Arabidopsis thaliana: one gene and its partners. The protein of the gene in region 1 interacts with the protein of each later gene in a pairwise test. Each region holds a gene or a part of one and is shown in the gene's direction. Other genes may lie near its edges.

Region 1 (7,703 bases):
TTCCATTTGATTTTTCTTATACTAAATTGATTGATGTCACGGTCCTTCTGTGAAAAAAGTATATTGTACTGTATAAATTTATAATAGTCATACTTGAAGATAACTAATATCATTTTCTAAAGGTTTTGTTGACAATGAAATGGGTAATGATGAACATCTCGTTTGCTAAACCACAAAAGAAATAATTCGTTGGACTATAACTTAAACTTATAATATATCAACTGAAATGCCTACAATTTGAGAATACGCCTTTTCAAAAAGTTTTAGAATTTTATAAAAATTTCTCCACCATAATATTACTTTAATAAAAGCTTGTTATTAAAATGATATATTAACAAAAAAAAAAGAGGTAGGCAAAGTAGCTTTTATTAAAATTAATGTTTTCCCTAATTGGTAAATCATAAACCAAAAAATTGAGGTAATTCTTAATATATTTACTATGATTAGAATGATACATTAATGTAACATTTTATCATCTTCATTAATAATAGTAAGTTCTCCTCAAAATTACAATTTGATATCAAAAAATATATTTGTATTACAAGCAATTACTGAAAAATTAAAATTACAATTTAGCCCAGTTACATAACTCCACGTAAGGTTTGAGCCCATCACATCACATGGTACATGACCAAAGCCCAGTTATGTTACCATGGAGTATTCTTCAGACAAGAGCCATCCAGACAGAAGTGGACCACACAATCACGAATCGTATGGAGATCATTACAATATATTGCTCACATCTTATTGCGCCACGTCTCTTATTTGGCGAGTGATCAACGTCCACAGATCTCTTGCTCCACTCTGATTGGTACACGTCATCATTTTATTGTGCTACTTGTTTATGTGGTACAGTAGAGACAAGTGGTAAGATTTTAAAATATCTTAAAAGATGTGTGAGGCCCATTTAGATATTTTCTCAACGGGCTGTTCCTCAAAAGCTGCCCGTTTATCTACAACCATCGAACGGCTCGAAACTATTCTGGGCTAGCTGCCCGAAATCTCTTAAAGGAATTTGTTGAGTGGGCTTGAATCAACGGTGGATAATTCGAAGGTGTACGTAACATCTCGTAGCATCTGAACTTAGCTCCCCTCAAAATATCTGTGGACATATGTCACTAGCTTTTTTTTTGTGTAATGAAACTATTAATTAATTAGGCAATCACATGAGAGATGTTATATACTTAAATTAATAACTCAATAATACAATCATGACCACCAAACCTTGAAATAAAATAATCTCTCTGATTACTTGTACAAATTCTTTACCAATATATGCCATACTGTGAATGTAATGGTTTATTTTAAAACAGCCAAATATTATTGATATAATTATATGTTTAAGTAGATTTTAAACTTAGCTCATGGTTAAAAATAGACAGAATTTTGGAGTAAATCTGAGTTTACAAAATTTATTTATTAGGATTAAAATTAATTACTTAAATTGGCAAACATTTTTCTTGGTGATTGTAACATACAATATACGAATTTGAATTCGCATTGTGATTCCAAAACAACACTAACATAAACTACCAGTAAAATTTTTTAAAATAAAATTTCATATATATATGCTTAAAAAATGTAACAAAAATATGGTAAATTTTTTAACCATGGTATGGGTGGAGATGTATGTGGGATGATGATGGTTATATGGTAATGGCGCATAAAGGTGGTGGCAAAGGCAAGGAAATATCGATGACACGTAAGCAGACGGGAAATCTTAAACCGAGTGGAGAAGCCTCCAAATCTCTTTTTTCTCTCTCTCTCTCCTAAGGCCACCACAATCTCTTCTTCTGTGTATGTATTCTTTTTTTCTCCGATATTCGTCGATCTCTCAAAAATATCCTCAAAGCCAAAAAAAAGCAAGAGTAGAGATAACCAACCAACAAACTCATAGGAAGACATATTTACTTTCAGGTCTTTCTTCTACTACCTTTTTCGTGGTTTTTGGTTGATTGATTCTCAGATGAGATTTTTTCCCGAATCATTTGATGTCTTTTTTTTTTAAATAAGTTCTTGGTAAATCACTGTTTCTACTAGCATTTTTTGTTTTCTCAGCTTAGATTTGTTGTTTGATTTGACATCTTATCTGATTGAGATTTTGTTCTTCTGAATTGTTGTTACAGGGTTTAGCTGTTTGATTCAGCTTCGATTTAGTGTACAGTGTGTTGATTAGTATAAAAAGGATTTAAAAGAATCTGGGAGATGTGTATAGTGATTGTTCTTGCTGGCGAATGTTAACACTACGTCGTATTGATTCTCGATTGATAGTAGAAGAAAGGTGTTAGTTAGATTGTTCGTTCATCTAGTTGGGGTTTAGTTTCGGTTCCTGGATGGCTAGTTCATCTTCATCTGAGAGATGGATCGATGGTCTTCAGTTCTCTTCCTTGTTATGGCCTCCGCCACGAGATCCTCAACAACATAAGGATCAAGTCGTTGCTTATGTTGAATATTTTGGTCAATTTACATCAGAGCAATTCCCAGATGACATTGCTGAGGTACTTGATACCTAATGAGTTTAATAAGAGTATTCTCTTAGTAGTGACGTTTTGATTCATGTATAATTTATCTGTATCAGTTGGTCCGGCATCAGTATCCATCAACTGAGAAGCGACTTTTAGACGATGTGCTGGGTATGATCAACATTTATGATCCACACTTCTCTTTTTGTGTGTGAATGTCTATCTGATTTTCGTTTTCTGATGAAACAGCGATGTTTGTCCTTCATCATCCGGAGCATGGTCATGCAGTCATTCTTCCAATCATTTCATGTCTTATTGATGGCTCGTTGGTGTACAGCAAGGAAGCTCATCCGTTTGCCTCTTTCATATCTTTAGTTTGCCCAAGTAGTGAGGTATATAATAGCTGTCTAGTATCATGCTTACTGATTTGGTGTAACCTATACCATTTTGTGCTAACATGTTCACTATCCTAACAGAATGACTATTCGGAGCAATGGGCTTTGGCATGTGGAGAAATCCTTCGCATTTTGACTCATTACAACCGTCCCATTTATAAAACTGAGCAGCAAAATGGAGATACAGAGAGAAATTGTCTGAGCAAAGCTACAACTAGTGGTTCTCCGACTTCAGAGCCTAAGGCTGGATCACCAACACAGCATGAAAGGAAACCTTTAAGGCCTTTGTCTCCATGGATCAGTGATATACTACTTGCTGCTCCTCTTGGTATAAGAAGTGACTATTTCCGATGGTAAGTAGACTCTGTTACTGATGCTTCTATGTGTTCATGCGCCGGCCTCCTTCTTTTATTTTGGTCTCTCTGCTGAGGTCTATGTATTGAGGTTCTGTAGTGGATTAAGCTTACTGACAACTAAAAATGTTGCTTATTATTTACAGGTGTAGTGGTGTAATGGGTAAATATGCTGCTGGAGAGCTCAAGCCGCCAACCATTGGTGAGTTCAAGAATTCCATGTTAATATCCCCTGGAACTGGATTTTGATGATAATTCTGATCAATAGAGTTGTTCTATCACTTCGTTCATAAATGTGTATCCATCACCTGTGGCTATAGAATGTGTTTTGAGTTGCTTCCTATAACTTTCATGTTGTCCTACTTTGGCAGCTTCTCGAGGATCTGGTAAACATCCTCAACTGATGCCTTCAACCCCAAGATGGGCTGTTGCTAATGGAGCTGGTGTCATACTGAGTGTTTGTGATGATGAAGTTGCTCGATATGAGACTGCTACGCTGACAGCGGTCGCTGTCCCTGCACTTCTTCTTCCTCCGCCAACGACATCCTTAGATGAGCATCTAGTTGCTGGCCTTCCAGCTCTTGAACCATATGCACGTTTGTTTCATAGGTATTGTTTCTGGGCTTACCCTTTCAATTAGGGTTTATTGGTAGTAGTCTGTTGCTAGTTTTAAGGTTGTGCTTCCTCGAATCCCTAGATCAGAATTGTTTTCTCACTTTCCTGTTATACTGTCAGATACTATGCCATTGCAACTCCAAGTGCTACGCAGAGACTTCTTCTTGGACTCTTAGAAGCACCACCGTCGTGGGCTCCAGATGCACTTGATGCTGCTGTACAGCTTGTGGAACTCCTTCGAGCTGCTGAAGATTATGCATCTGGTGTAAGGGTAAGCGTAATATGAATCTCTTAATTACCCTCCAGAAAGCTAATTGTGTCCCTTGTTATAAAAAAAGTCAGCTTTGGTATGTCATCAAAGAAATCAGCTTTGATCACATTCTTTTTCTTGGTGCAGCTACCCAGGAACTGGATGCATTTGCACTTCTTGCGGGCTATAGGAATTGCTATGTCTATGAGGGCAGGTGTTGCTGCTGATGCTGCAGCCGCTTTGCTTTTCCGCATACTCTCACAGCCGGCACTGCTTTTTCCTCCGCTAAGTCAAGTTGAGGGAGTAGAAATTCAGCACGCGCCTATTGGTGGCTACAGTTCAAATTACAGAAAACAGGCATGGTTCCTCTTTATATTTTTCTGCTATTCCATCTCTGATATGCGATTGGCATTCTACTAGAAAATTATATTGAAACTGACTCATTTCATCTCAACAGATAGAAGTTCCTGCAGCAGAAGCAACCATTGAAGCCACTGCCCAAGGAATTGCCTCAATGCTTTGTGCTCATGGTCCTGAAGTTGAGTGGAGAATTTGCACTATATGGGAAGCTGCTTATGGTTTGATCCCTTTAAATTCTTCGGCGGTTGATCTTCCCGAAATCATAGTTGCTACCCCACTGCAACCTCCTATCTTGTCATGGAATTTATACATTCCACTCCTCAAAGTACTTGAATATCTTCCACGGGGGAGTCCTTCGGAAGCATGCTTGATGAAAATATTTGTTGCCACTGTGGAAACAATACTCAGTAGAACTTTTCCGCCTGAATCTTCCAGGGAACTAACCAGAAAAGCTAGATCGAGTTTTACCACAAGATCAGCGACCAAAAATCTTGCTATGTCTGAGCTTCGTGCTATGGTCCATGCTCTCTTTTTAGAATCATGCGCTGGTGTGGAATTAGCTTCACGCCTACTTTTTGTTGTGTTGACTGTATGTGTTAGCCATGAAGCACAGTCTAGTGGTAGCAAGAGACCGAGAAGTGAATATGCTAGTACTACTGAAAATATTGAGGCGAATCAACCTGTATCTAACAATCAAACTGCTAACCGTAAAAGTAGGAATGTCAAGGGACAGGGACCTGTGGCAGCATTTGATTCATACGTTCTTGCTGCTGTTTGTGCTCTTGCCTGTGAGGTTCAGCTGTATCCTATGATCTCTGGTGGGGGGAACTTTTCCAATTCTGCCGTGGCTGGAACTATTACAAAGCCTGTAAAGATAAATGGGTCATCTAAAGAGTATGGAGCTGGGATTGACTCGGCAATTAGTCATACGCGCCGAATTTTGGCAATCCTAGAGGCACTCTTTTCATTAAAACCATCTTCTGTGGGGACTCCATGGAGTTACAGTTCTAGTGAGATAGTTGCTGCGGCCATGGTTGCAGCTCATATTTCCGAACTGTTCAGACGTTCAAAGGCCTTGACGCATGCATTGTCTGGGTTGATGAGATGTAAGTGGGATAAGGAAATTCATAAAAGAGCATCATCATTATATAACCTCATAGATGTTCACAGCAAAGTTGTTGCCTCCATTGTTGACAAAGCTGAACCCTTGGAAGCCTACCTTAAGAATACACCGGTTCAGAAGGATTCTGTGACCTGTTTAAACTGGAAACAAGAGAACACATGTGCAAGCACCACATGCTTTGATACAGCGGTGACATCCGCCTCAAGGACTGAAATGAATCCAAGAGGAAACCATAAGTATGCTAGACATTCAGATGAAGGCTCAGGGAGACCCTCAGAGAAGGGTATCAAAGATTTCCTCTTGGATGCTTCTGATCTTGCGAATTTCCTCACAGCTGATAGACTCGCAGGGTTCTATTGTGGTACACAAAAGCTTTTGAGGTCAGTGCTTGCAGAGAAACCGGAGCTGTCTTTCTCCGTTGTTTCACTGTTATGGCACAAACTGATTGCTGCTCCTGAAATCCAGCCCACCGCAGAAAGCACCTCTGCGCAACAAGGATGGAGACAGGTAAACCTCAGCACTTCTATTTCCCAGCTCGCTTACAGTTTCCTTGGTAGTTCTTTACTAATCCAATTAAGTCGCTCGACTTCATACACTGATCATATTTTTTATATATCAGGTTGTTGATGCGCTATGCAATGTCGTATCTGCAACGCCAGCGAAAGCAGCAGCAGCAGTTGTCCTTCAGGTCCAAATTACTCTTTGACTTTTTATTTCATTTGTCAGGAATGCAACACCTGTGTAAAGATTAAACTGCGGAAAACCTATGGCCTGTGTTAATGTTTTATAATGCTTGGTTCACTCATTTGATCTCTCATGAATTTATAAAAATTAAGCTTGGAATTTATATGCAACACTTGTTTTAATATGCCAAGGATAGGAAATAAGGAAGAAAAAATCTGTGTAAAATAATGGCTTGTTTCAAGCTCATATGTTGAAGGATTTACTCTAATGCTCTATTGTCTGAAATGGTCTTGTGTTATTTACAGGCTGAAAGGGAGTTGCAGCCTTGGATCGCCAAAGATGATGAAGAAGGCCAAAAAATGTGGAAAATCAACCAACGGATAGTCAAAGTGTTGGTGGAACTCATGCGCAATCATGACAGGCCTGAGTCACTGGTGATTCTCGCAAGTGCATCAGATCTTCTTCTGCGGGCAACTGATGGAATGCTTGTTGATGGAGAAGCTTGTACATTACCTCAACTTGAGGTACTGCACTGTTATAGATTGCTCTTCAATGCCCTTCTTCGGGCTAGAGTAATAATCATTTTCTGATTCCACTGTATTTTAAACTTTTGCAGCTACTTGAAGCCACGGCAAGAGCAATACAGCCGGTGCTAGCTTGGGGGCCATCTGGACTAGCAGTGGTCGACGGTTTATCCAATCTATTGAAGGTAAAAGCAGAATCGAACAGAGCCTATGGTTTCCTGCGTCGATTGTAGATGATCAGTAGTAGGTCCAGTTACCAAAGTGCTTAACCTTGTTCACATCTTTTTGCTTCTATGCAGTGTCGTCTACCAGCAACAATACGGTGCCTTTCACACCCAAGTGCACACGTACGTGCCTTAAGCACGTCAGTACTACGTGATATCATGAACCAAAGCTCCATACCCATCAAAGTAACTCCAAAACTGCCAACAACAGAGAAGAACGGAATGAATAGTCCGTCCTATCGATTCTTCAACGCCGCCTCAATAGACTGGAAAGCCGATATCCAAAACTGTTTAAACTGGGAAGCTCACAGCTTGCTCTCCACAACTATGCCTACTCAGTTTCTCGACACTGCGGCTCGGGAACTCGGCTGTACTATATCCTTGTCCCAATAACGAGCACCCACTTTTGTTTTTGGTAAATTTTAGTTCTCTAGACAAAACATTTGGACGTAGACCAAGAAGAATATATATATAGTTTGTTGTATGTAATGTTGTAATGATGAGTGACTGACGCAATCACTCCCACCGGCGTTGGATTTGCTCTCGCTCGGTGTCTTATATAACTCAACCTCTTCTCTGTACATTTTAAATGACGAAGTAGCTCAATCTTTTTTTTTGTGCGTCTGGTGTTTAGTCTTCAGTGGATTCTAAATCGTAATGTATAGAAGTGAAAAATTTACAAATTTACTTATTTCCGAATACTCTTAAAACAG
Region 2 (4,241 bases), on another chromosome or scaffold:
GCTTCTTTCTGGTTAGGGAAGACGATACTGCAGACGATTTCAGCTTCAGGAAGTGTGTTGATCAAATCCTCCCATTGCCTGAAAACATGAAGACTCCTGGAGCTAACGGCAATGGACATGGTGGAGGTCGCGGTGGCGGTGGTGGAAGAAGAGGCGGTCGTGGTGGTGGTAGAGGAGGGAGATTCAGAAGATGAATATGCTGACACTTGATGCCTTATTTCAAAAGAAAATTTTGAAAATTTCAGATTTAGTTCTTTTGCCAAAAACTTTAAAAGTTATGATCTTGTCTAATGCAACTGCTTTTTGTTGGAGAAAAATTGTCAGTTTATATAACCCATTATTGCTGAAGAAGAAGAATATTGTCCCTACTATCTTGACAACATCAGAAAAAAACACAGACGCGTCAATAGAACTAAAAATCTGGTTGATCTAGTTTTTAAAAACCAATAATTCAAAAACGAAAAACTCAAATCAAAATCTAGATGAAAAAAAAACACTTTCCATTGATAGTGTAGTGTTGATCTGGTTGCTAAATGATAATGTTAAATAAAAAGAATTGGGGAAGTTATGAAAAACCGACATTTTGACTTTGGTAACTTACTGTGTGTGACATGTTCACCGTTTACGACCCTTCTAAGAGAAAGACAATGCCCTCAAACTAAAGCTGTCTTAAATCTTAACCCTGCTAAAAAATGATTACATGAAGTGATAACACTGGTTGGCACACGTCTTGGAATAATGGATTATTTTGAAACACATTATGAATTATAAAGAAACATTATCCGATATTCGGTATTCGGATTAATATTCCAAATTGTCTTCTTACACAATATACAAATAGACACATACACAAATTGTCTTTTGAAGATGCAACAAATTTTGTTTTGTTAAGCCTTCTTAGATTTAGGAAGCTTCTTAACTACGATCTTACTGCAACACAATCAGTTTGTGAAATCTATGATCTGACCAAGATGCAGGTGAGTAAGGGACCTACAGTAGAAGTTGACATGGAAAAAAGGCAGAGTTTGGTAAATCATAAAATGTGGCAGAGACCTTTTTGGTAATAGCCAATGAGAGAGCACCTCATATCTATTACCTTCTTCTGCAGTCTTCTTATCTTAACGTACAACCGTTCACTTAATGAAATTCGTCAATGGATGTTATATGGTTGTGAAGTTTTTTTTTTGTTTTTTTTTTTATAATTGATTTTCTATTAATGGTTGTGATTAATCTTTGTGTATAAAAGAAGGGTATATGTTTCTCCAAACCAAAAAGTGTAGATCGTTTTCAAATGAAGGATTTTTATCCTTCTACCAACCAATTAAGAAATTGCACGTAACAAGACAGCTCTCGTGTGAGCTGCACCAAAGCCATCCCCGCGATGCTGACATTTACCTACCCAAAAGTTTCTAAACAGTTTACATAATTGTTTTTTTTTCTTCAATTCAACAATAGATAGATAATTGTTAAGATATGTTAGAAATCTTATATCAGTATTATATATAACGAAGCGTGTTTATAAAAACACTTTTTCTGAAAACTTTATTGCATCCTCGTAGGAGCACTTCGTTTTTTATCGTTCAAACTTGTTATGCATTTGTTCCATGTATATAACTACATAAGACCTTTTTGATCTGTTTGGTTAACGGAAAGTTTAGTGAAAATCTAAAACATATAAAAAAATCGATTCTTCGAATAGTTTTGACAAAGTTTAAAGAAAATAACAAAAGATTATATGCTATGGGTTTTAATGGGGTTTGGGAGAAAAGTAAAATATCAGAGGCCACATAAACTTGTGGTCTAGAATCAAACCAAAATGCTGACCTGGCATCCACTTCACTTTTTAAAACGTATCAAAATCCCAAATCTCACGATTTCCAAACCAAAAATTTCCAAACTACCCAAACCCCCCACAAAACATCTTCGAAGAGAAACAAAAAAAAACACCCTGAAAAGAAAGGAAAAGAGACACAGAGAGTCAGAAACTTACGAGTAAAAAAGAGCACATCTTAGGAAAACGATAATAATGCTGGAAACTAAAGATCCTGCGATAAAGCTCTTTGGTATGAAAATTCCTTTCCCGACGGTTTTAGAGGTTGCTGATGAAGAAGAAGAAAAGGTACTCATTATTATGTCTACTTTTTTGTTTCTGAAAGGGCTGAGTATGTTTTGTTATATACAAGTATAGAGAAAATGAGTTTTGGTGTTTTGAAAAGGGTATTTGAGTTTTTGTTCATTTTCCCATCAAAGGCAACTGTTTTCTTTTTTTGGTATCGTTTTATATTCATAGTTGATGAATTGGTAAACTTTTTGGAGAATTCCTAAGAAAATACACTTAAACCATCTGTTTAATTAAAACTCTAGTTCTCTGTTGGTGAACCAGAGGTTGCAATTTGGTTTGATGACTTTTCATGAAACGAAAAAGCATATTCGTTTCTCCATAAAGTAATCATATTTTTTAGTGAAAAAGGTTGCTTTATAGTATACACACTGAAACCAATAAAGGTGAGCGAATTTAGACTTCTAACTAAAGCGTGTTCTTTAAAAGACTTTTTCCTCCACCAAAATTTCATCTAGAACCTTCTTCTTGAGAATCATACTCATTATAATACAAAGTTTTAAATTCATTTCTGTTTAACATGCTTCAAAAATGTTATTCTTTCTTTATTCATCATCCGTCCCTAATAATCCGATTTCATTGTCTTGCATCAGAACCAAAACAAGACATTAACTGATCAATCGGAGAAAGACAAAACCCTAAAGAAACCAACCAAGATTCTTCCATGTCCAAGATGCAACAGCATGGAGACTAAGTTCTGTTACTACAACAACTACAACGTAAACCAACCTCGCCATTTTTGTAAAGCTTGTCAGAGATATTGGACCTCAGGTGGGACCATGAGAAGTGTTCCAATCGGAGCAGGACGGCGCAAGAACAAGAACAACTCACCAACTTCACATTACCACCATGTGACTATCTCCGAAACAAATGGTCCGGTCCTTAGTTTCAGCCTCGGAGATGATCAAAAGGTCTCGAGTAATAGGTTTGGTAATCAAAAGCTAGTTGCTAGGATAGAGAACAATGACGAGCGCTCTAATAACAACACTTCGAACGGTTTGAATTGTTTTCCGGGAGTTTCGTGGCCGTACACGTGGAATCCTGCGTTTTACCCGGTTTACCCTTATTGGAGCATGCCAGTGTTGTCTTCTCCGGTAAGTTCAAGTCCTACTTCTACTCTTGGTAAGCATTCGAGAGACGAAGACGAGACGGTGAAGCAAAAACAGAGGAATGGATCTGTATTGGTTCCAAAGACTTTGAGAATTGATGATCCTAATGAAGCTGCAAAGAGTTCGATATGGACAACACTTGGGATCAAGAACGAAGTTATGTTCAATGGGTTTGGTTCGAAGAAAGAGGTTAAGCTCAGTAACAAAGAAGAAACAGAGACCTCACTTGTTCTTTGTGCAAACCCTGCTGCGTTATCAAGATCAATCAATTTCCATGAGCAGATGTGATTGTATACATATGATATATACGTGTATGTATGTATAGATGTGGTGGAAGATTAAGTTAGATCCATCAAAATCTGACTTTTTTGTTCTTTCGTTGTGGCTTACATGAAGCTTTATAATAGCTTTTGTACCATATACTTTTTAGTCTTTTAAGTTTGATTTTTGTTGTAAGATTAAATACGATGAAATAAAAGTTCTTTTTGACCGTTATCTTGCATTCAAATTAAATACGCTGTTAAAAGCTAACAGTAAAAATATAAAAAAACTGTTGTGAGATTTGAGATAGACATCTGATTTACTTTAAACACGAGTGGATAAGTAAAGTAAGATAAGATAATGTAAAAAGATTTCTTGAATTTGACCTCTTTTGTGCGATAACTAACAGTTGTGTCATGTGTGCTGGTGCGGGTGGGCACGATAAAACAGCACAAAACATAATAATGTTGAATATGGAAAACAAAGCAAACAGCAACAAATAAAATAAACTATAATGAAATTAGATTTAATCAAGTTTTGCAGAGTTTTTAAATTATCGTTAGTTAATCTATTTACTTTTATTTTGACTTTCTTTGCAACTTAGCCCCTTTTAATGGAGTGTTGTATTTTAGATCATTTTCGTGTAATGTTTTTTTGGTAAAGTACATAGTATTTTTGGATAATAAATATCCTAGATTGATTAAAAAATTTAGTTCTTGGATAATTTGTTGACCAACCGTATCAAACGAATG
Region 3 (5,836 bases), on another chromosome or scaffold:
ATATGTACTTTATTTCTAGATTTGATTAGCTTATCATCTCCTTTTATTTTCTTAACATTTGACCATTGATTGAAAATGATTGATAAGTAGCTATGTTGTATTTAGAGATTAGTTTAATTAGTGTATCTCTTGAGTGTTTTATTGCAGGTTTAGATAACCTCATACAAGTCGTTACATAGTTATGAGTAAATGAGTTTATTAATAAATTTAGAGAACAATCTATGCCTACCGGTGAATTTTTATATAATAAATTGAATGTTTTATTTTATTGTTATAATTGACTTTCTAATCTAAAAGATAGAATTCTATGAAATTGTACACACTTTTGAAAACAATTTTTTTTTTAATAGAAAATTATAAGAAATTAGATCCATATGGTTATGGGTATTATAATATTTTTATTTATATATATATATATATATATATATATATATATTCTTCTTGCATGACCATATTAATGAGAATATTGGGATCAGAGACTTATTTATAGTGTGTTTTTAGTCTATTGCACTTGTGTTTTGGAATATTATGATATTTAATTCAAAGATGTACCCTTAATGAATGATCTTTTATGATGTCAATGTTTCAGCATCTTATACTGAAACAGAAAATAAGAGGAGGTCTTAAAGGAAAAGAAAACATTTCGAATGCAAAAATTTAACCTTTAACATTTTCGATTTTTTTTAATGAAATTCTAATAATATTGGTTCTAAGCAGCTGATTTTATTTTTTTAATAGTAAGAAATAATATATGTATACATATATATTTAAATATTTACTATCAAAATTTCCGGCATAGCAAGTCATAATTTGTAAGAAATCTTACATTTTGTTGTTTACAAACTCTCACAAGTCACAATGTAAGTTTCGGTCTAGTGCAGTGATGAGGTAAACAAAAAAAAAAATCTATCGATGAGCCAACTTTTTGATCTAGAGCCCTAGGATTTGACGATTTATATATAAATAAAACCCTAGGATTTTCGTTTCTTTTTGTATAAAAATGAATTCATAGGCACTCTATACGTCTCATGAATCATGAAATATAAATCGAGATTAAATAGAAAATTGAATGTTGACCGTGGAACAGAACAAGTGTTGAAAGAAGTGTGTTTGCAGCATGGTCTTATCATAGAGCCAATAGTTGGAAATTAGCAGAATATCGTATAATATCCACTATCCTGTAAAGCATTTTTATAATTCCTTTTTTTTTTCTCGGTTTCTAATGTAATCTTCTATCCGATAACAAATATTCGGATAGTGTGATCTCTCCACTAATATACATACGAAATTACGAAAACTAAAATTATAATTTCATCGATTTGATTAAACTCCAAAAACATCCAAGTCTTGCATCAAATATGTACATTTCTATCATATTGTTTATAATTCTTTTTTTGTTATCCGTAAGTTTTAGGCAGAAACCCGTACAGTGAAACCGAGGACCAGAACAAGATAAACGTAGTCCCCTCTCCTAAGTATAGAATTATAATGTGACACATGATCACAATTTGTTGAACGAACTCTATGTTCAACCACTAGACTACAAATTCTTGGGTTTATATCGTATTAGAAGTATATATAAATCATACATATTTTTTTTAAAACTTTTTTCTTGACTATTCTTTTAAGAAAAAAAAACATTTCATTACTAGAAAATAGTACAAAATATATCATTCAACCTAGCAAGAAACCATAGCCTGAAGTAGCCGCGAAGACCTAGTTGCTTAAACACTGAGTGGTTCATCTTAATTCGAATATTATAAACCACATTTTAATTAAGTAAATTACTTAGTCTTGTTCTAATGTATAAAATAGCCTATGAGAGGAAAACAGAAGAGAGAAGCCTTTGCCTTATCTCTTGTCCCTTCTCTCTTACCTTTATTTTAATTTTCAAATATTTCTTTTTGCTCCCAAAGCAAACGACGTCTTGTCAATCCACTCAAGCCACCCAACTTCTTCATTATTGTTAATCTCTCTCTCTCTCTCTTTCTCTCTTCTTCTCTCTTTCTCTTTTTTTTTTTTTTATTTTCTTCTCTTCCATGTCACTTCCTTGACGAATTCTATATACCTAGTTCGTTTTTTCTTCCTCAAATATATCTTTTTCAATTTATTTGGTTTTTCTTTGGGTGCAACTTCACCTCACAAAATTTTCTCTCTTTTTTTATATTAATTTGAGTTAGGCCTTTTTGATTTCATAGATGAGTCGTCTAGTCGTCTGGATTTGATGTGGTTATAGTCTTACAGAGACCTTTGATTGAAATAAGAACAAAAGCAAGAATACATACATCCTCTTCATCTTACACCCATCCTTTTTTATTTTTCTAGGGTTTTATTTTTTTTTAATTTATTTTTTTTCTTTGATTTTTATATTCTCTCTCTCTCTCAAATCTTTACTCATCTGGGTATGGAAGAATACCAGCATGACAACAGCACCACTCCTCAAAGAGTAAGTTTCTTGTACTCTCCAATCTCTTCTTCCAACAAAAACGATAACACAAGTGATACCAACAACAACAACAACAATAATAATAGTAGCAATTATGGTCCTGGTTACAATAATACTAACAACAACAATCATCACCACCAACACATGTTGTTTCCACATATGAGCTCTCTTCTCCCTCAAACAACCGAGAATTGCTTCCGATCTGATCATGATCAACCCAACAACAACAACAACCCATCTGTTAAATCTGAAGCTAGCTCCTCAAGAATCAATCATTACTCCATGTTAATGAGAGCCATCCACAATACTCAAGAAGCTAACAACAACAACAATGACAACGTAAGCGATGTTGAAGCCATGAAGGCTAAAATCATTGCTCATCCTCACTACTCTACCCTCCTACAAGCTTACTTGGACTGCCAAAAGGTTTGGTTTTATTCTTATTGTTATGTTATAATATATACTCTTTTTTTAAAGATATAATATATAGTTATGTGTGACATATATATGTATGTTCATGGGTCATGGTTTATATAGATTGGAGCTCCACCTGATGTGGTTGATAGAATTACGGCGGCACGGCAAGACTTTGAGGCTCGACAACAGCGGTCAACACCGTCTGTCTCTGCCTCCTCTAGAGACCCGGAGTTAGATCAATTCATGGTTCATTACTAACCAAAGTTGAATTTTAATTAAATGGGTCGGTTCTTTGTGTGTATATGTGTTAGAAGTCTTGATTTTCCTTTTTTATTTTTTGGTATGAATAGGAAGCATACTGTGACATGTTGGTTAAATATCGTGAGGAGCTAACAAGGCCCATTCAGGAAGCAATGGAGTTTATACGTCGTATTGAATCTCAGCTTAGCATGTTGTGTCAGAGTCCCATTCACATCCTCAACAATCCTGGTACATGTCATCAATCTCATATACATACATATATGCACATGTAAGAAATGGCTGGAGAAAACAAAGTGTAGTGGCAAGGTAGGGCTAATGATGGATTGCATAAATTGGCATGTTTCTTTGGTTCATGGTAAATTGTTGTAACATTGAGATATTAAAAAAAAAAAAAATCATAGTCTACATACATTTTCAAATGTTAATTAAGATTATAAGATAATTAAGATAATTGAGATGCATTATTGTTGGAAAGTATGTAAGATACAAATAGGTGTGCATATTTGTTCTTGTTTTCCCCATTGTGGAATCCATCCAAAGATGGGTGGGGCTTATTTTTGTTTTTTTTCTTTTCACTCGGCCCAAAAGTACTATCACAAGAACTTTTGGTGCTGCTCGTGAAGATTTATTTGGGACATTATCTTCTTCGATTTCGTTATGCTAAAACATCAAAATCTCTACTCGGATTAATTAGTCTAATCATAAAGGTAGATGACTAGAATGTTGTTAAATGACTAAACCATTTAACTTCATGAAATATATTATGTTGAAGCAGATGGGAAGAGTGACAATATGGGATCATCAGACGAAGAACAAGAGAATAACAGCGGAGGGGAAACAGAATTACCGGAAATAGACCCGAGGGCCGAAGATCGGGAACTCAAGAACCATTTGCTGAAGAAGTATAGTGGATACTTAAGCAGTTTGAAGCAAGAACTATCCAAGAAGAAAAAGAAAGGTAAACTTCCTAAAGAAGCACGGCAGAAGCTTCTCACGTGGTGGGAGTTGCATTACAAGTGGCCATATCCTTCTGTACGTATAAATTTTCTCTCATCTCTCTTTGCCCTCATATTTTTTAAAATATATACTACAAATTAAGTGTTTTAAAAACCTATCTTTAAGCTAGCAATTCCCTCTGAAGCCGCTATGTTAGGCCAAGTAGGTACTTGCATGACCGATTTTGTGTTTAAATCCTTGTACGGTTTCCAACAACATGGTTTTAAATCCGAATGCTCACAACACTAGAATTAGTCACTAGGATACATATCTTAGTCATGGTGTTCTAACCCTTAACATACTATTTTCTAACACGTATATCAATCACTTTTTTTTAAAAAATGTAAGTTTGTGATGAAATTTTTATCCATATATTTTGAAACAATTTAATTTTTTTTGTAGTTTTAATTAGTTTGAAATGAAATAACTAATCTAACCGACTGTAATGATAGTGAAAAAAACATGTTTAATATTGGTAAATATAAATGACATGTTGTTAAAAAGATAATAAGACAACATATAGTTAGTCGTTACTTGATGTCAAAGAAAAATGAAGTTAGTCATTTTACTTAGAGAATCGTTCAAAACAACAAACTTTAGGTCATTTTCCATTTTTATGTCTAGAATCATTTAAAAATAATTTTCGATTATCTCTAGCATTGCTTTTTATACATTGATTACTACATAAATGAAGATGGTTGGTTTGAGTTGTGTGGCAGGAGTCAGAGAAGGTAGCGTTGGCGGAATCAACGGGGTTAGATCAGAAACAAATCAACAATTGGTTCATAAACCAAAGAAAGCGTCACTGGAAACCATCTGAAGACATGCAGTTCATGGTGATGGATGGTCTGCAGCACCCGCACCACGCAGCTCTGTACATGGATGGTCATTACATGGGTGATGGACCTTATCGTCTCGGTCCATAAGACATCCAAAAGCTTTAGCCACATAATAACAACCTCTCGTTGCTTTCTTGTTACAACTCATGTTTTGAATTCCCCTACATCAGTTTGCTACTTATAGCTTTCTTTGTTTTCACGCCTTTTGTAATGTCTTATGTCGTTCGGGGAGTTTGAGACTTCCTAGTCAGAAATATCCCTTCATTTTATTTTCTCTTTTTTTCGGTGTATTTTGTTTTTTTGTTTTCTCACTAATGTTTTTATTTAATAATGTGTGAAAGGAAAATGCTATTCTGAAAAGGTGTTGCTCCATTTTTTTATTTTATATGGCATGAAATGTATGGTTTTGAAAGACAAAACCCAAATTGATCTAATGGATTCTTACATGCCTTTCCACAAGCTAAAACAAAATCCACAAAATGTAAAACATCGATAGTTGATAAGTCTCAAAACCATCTTTGCTTCGAACACGGTTTCAGGCATATATTATGACTTATGCGAAAGCATTACATCATAATACATAGGTCATGGAATCACTACCAGAAAAAAAAAAACTATTGTCGAAAGATTAAGTTAAAGATTCTCCCTTTGCACCCACTCGTCATCTGATGCGGACATCCAAATTAAACCAAACCGGGACCATACCAAATCAGCCGGTACATTTATCAAACCGATTGATGAAGAGCATTTTGGAGGACTCTTGCCCAATTGGAGTCTCAATCAAGCACAAGGCCTAGGGTTAATTATTCACCAGCAAATTAATTCTAAGAAGACTAATGATGATTCAAGAAGGGTCAAAGACCAGCGAGCCGAGTCA

The links. The genes of interacting proteins can lie anywhere in the genome.
Region 2: the proteins of GI (region 1) and CDF1 interact in binary tests that used the Arabidopsis thaliana proteins (3 or more experiments, as listed by UniProt).
Region 3: the proteins of GI (region 1) and KNAT1 interact in binary tests that used the Arabidopsis thaliana proteins (3 or more experiments, as listed by UniProt).

What each region holds. Positions count from the first base shown.
Region 1 is NC_003070.9:8,060,065-8,067,767, forward strand, and holds the start of GI (gigantea protein (GI)), read left to right. Parts: upstream 1-1,686; 5' UTR 1,687-1,917; intron 1,918-2,126; 5' UTR 2,127-2,333; coding exon 2,334-2,498; intron 2,499-2,578; coding exon 2,579-2,633; intron 2,634-2,711; coding exon 2,712-2,854; intron 2,855-2,938; coding exon 2,939-3,210; intron 3,211-3,356; coding exon 3,357-3,412; intron 3,413-3,581; coding exon 3,582-3,819; intron 3,820-3,945; coding exon 3,946-4,096; intron 4,097-4,222; coding exon 4,223-4,432; intron 4,433-4,532; coding exon 4,533-6,065; intron 6,066-6,177; coding exon 6,178-6,246; intron 6,247-6,547; coding exon 6,548-6,766; intron 6,767-6,858; coding exon 6,859-6,951; intron 6,952-7,065; coding exon 7,066-7,383; 3' UTR 7,384-7,703. UniProt on the Arabidopsis thaliana protein: Involved in regulation of circadian rhythm and photoperiodic flowering. May play a role in maintenance of circadian amplitude and period length. Is involved in phytochrome B signaling. Stabilizes ADO3 and the circadian photoreceptor ADO1/ZTL.
Region 2 is NC_003076.8:25,068,573-25,072,813, reverse strand, and holds CDF1 (cycling DOF factor 1), read left to right. Parts: upstream 1-1,702; 5' UTR 1,703-2,026; coding exon 2,027-2,119; intron 2,120-2,712; coding exon 2,713-3,516; 3' UTR 3,517-3,721; downstream 3,722-4,241. Other genes in the region: AT5G62440 (EMB514 (DUF3223)), read left to right, coding at 1-194. UniProt on the Arabidopsis thaliana protein: Transcription factor that binds specifically to a 5'-AA[AG]G-3' consensus core sequence. A flanking TGT sequence contributes to the specificity of binding. Regulates a photoperiodic flowering response. Transcriptional repressor of 'CONSTANS' expression.
Region 3 is NC_003075.7:5,147,179-5,153,014, reverse strand, and holds KNAT1 (homeobox knotted-like protein), read left to right. Parts: upstream 1-1,855; 5' UTR 1,856-2,404; coding exon 2,405-2,872; intron 2,873-2,983; coding exon 2,984-3,109; intron 3,110-3,213; coding exon 3,214-3,352; intron 3,353-3,899; coding exon 3,900-4,156; intron 4,157-4,839; coding exon 4,840-5,046; 3' UTR 5,047-5,316; downstream 5,317-5,836. UniProt on the Arabidopsis thaliana protein: May play a role in meristem function, and may be involved in maintaining cells in an undifferentiated, meristematic state, and its expression disappears at the same time the shoot apex undergoes the transition from vegetative to reproductive development.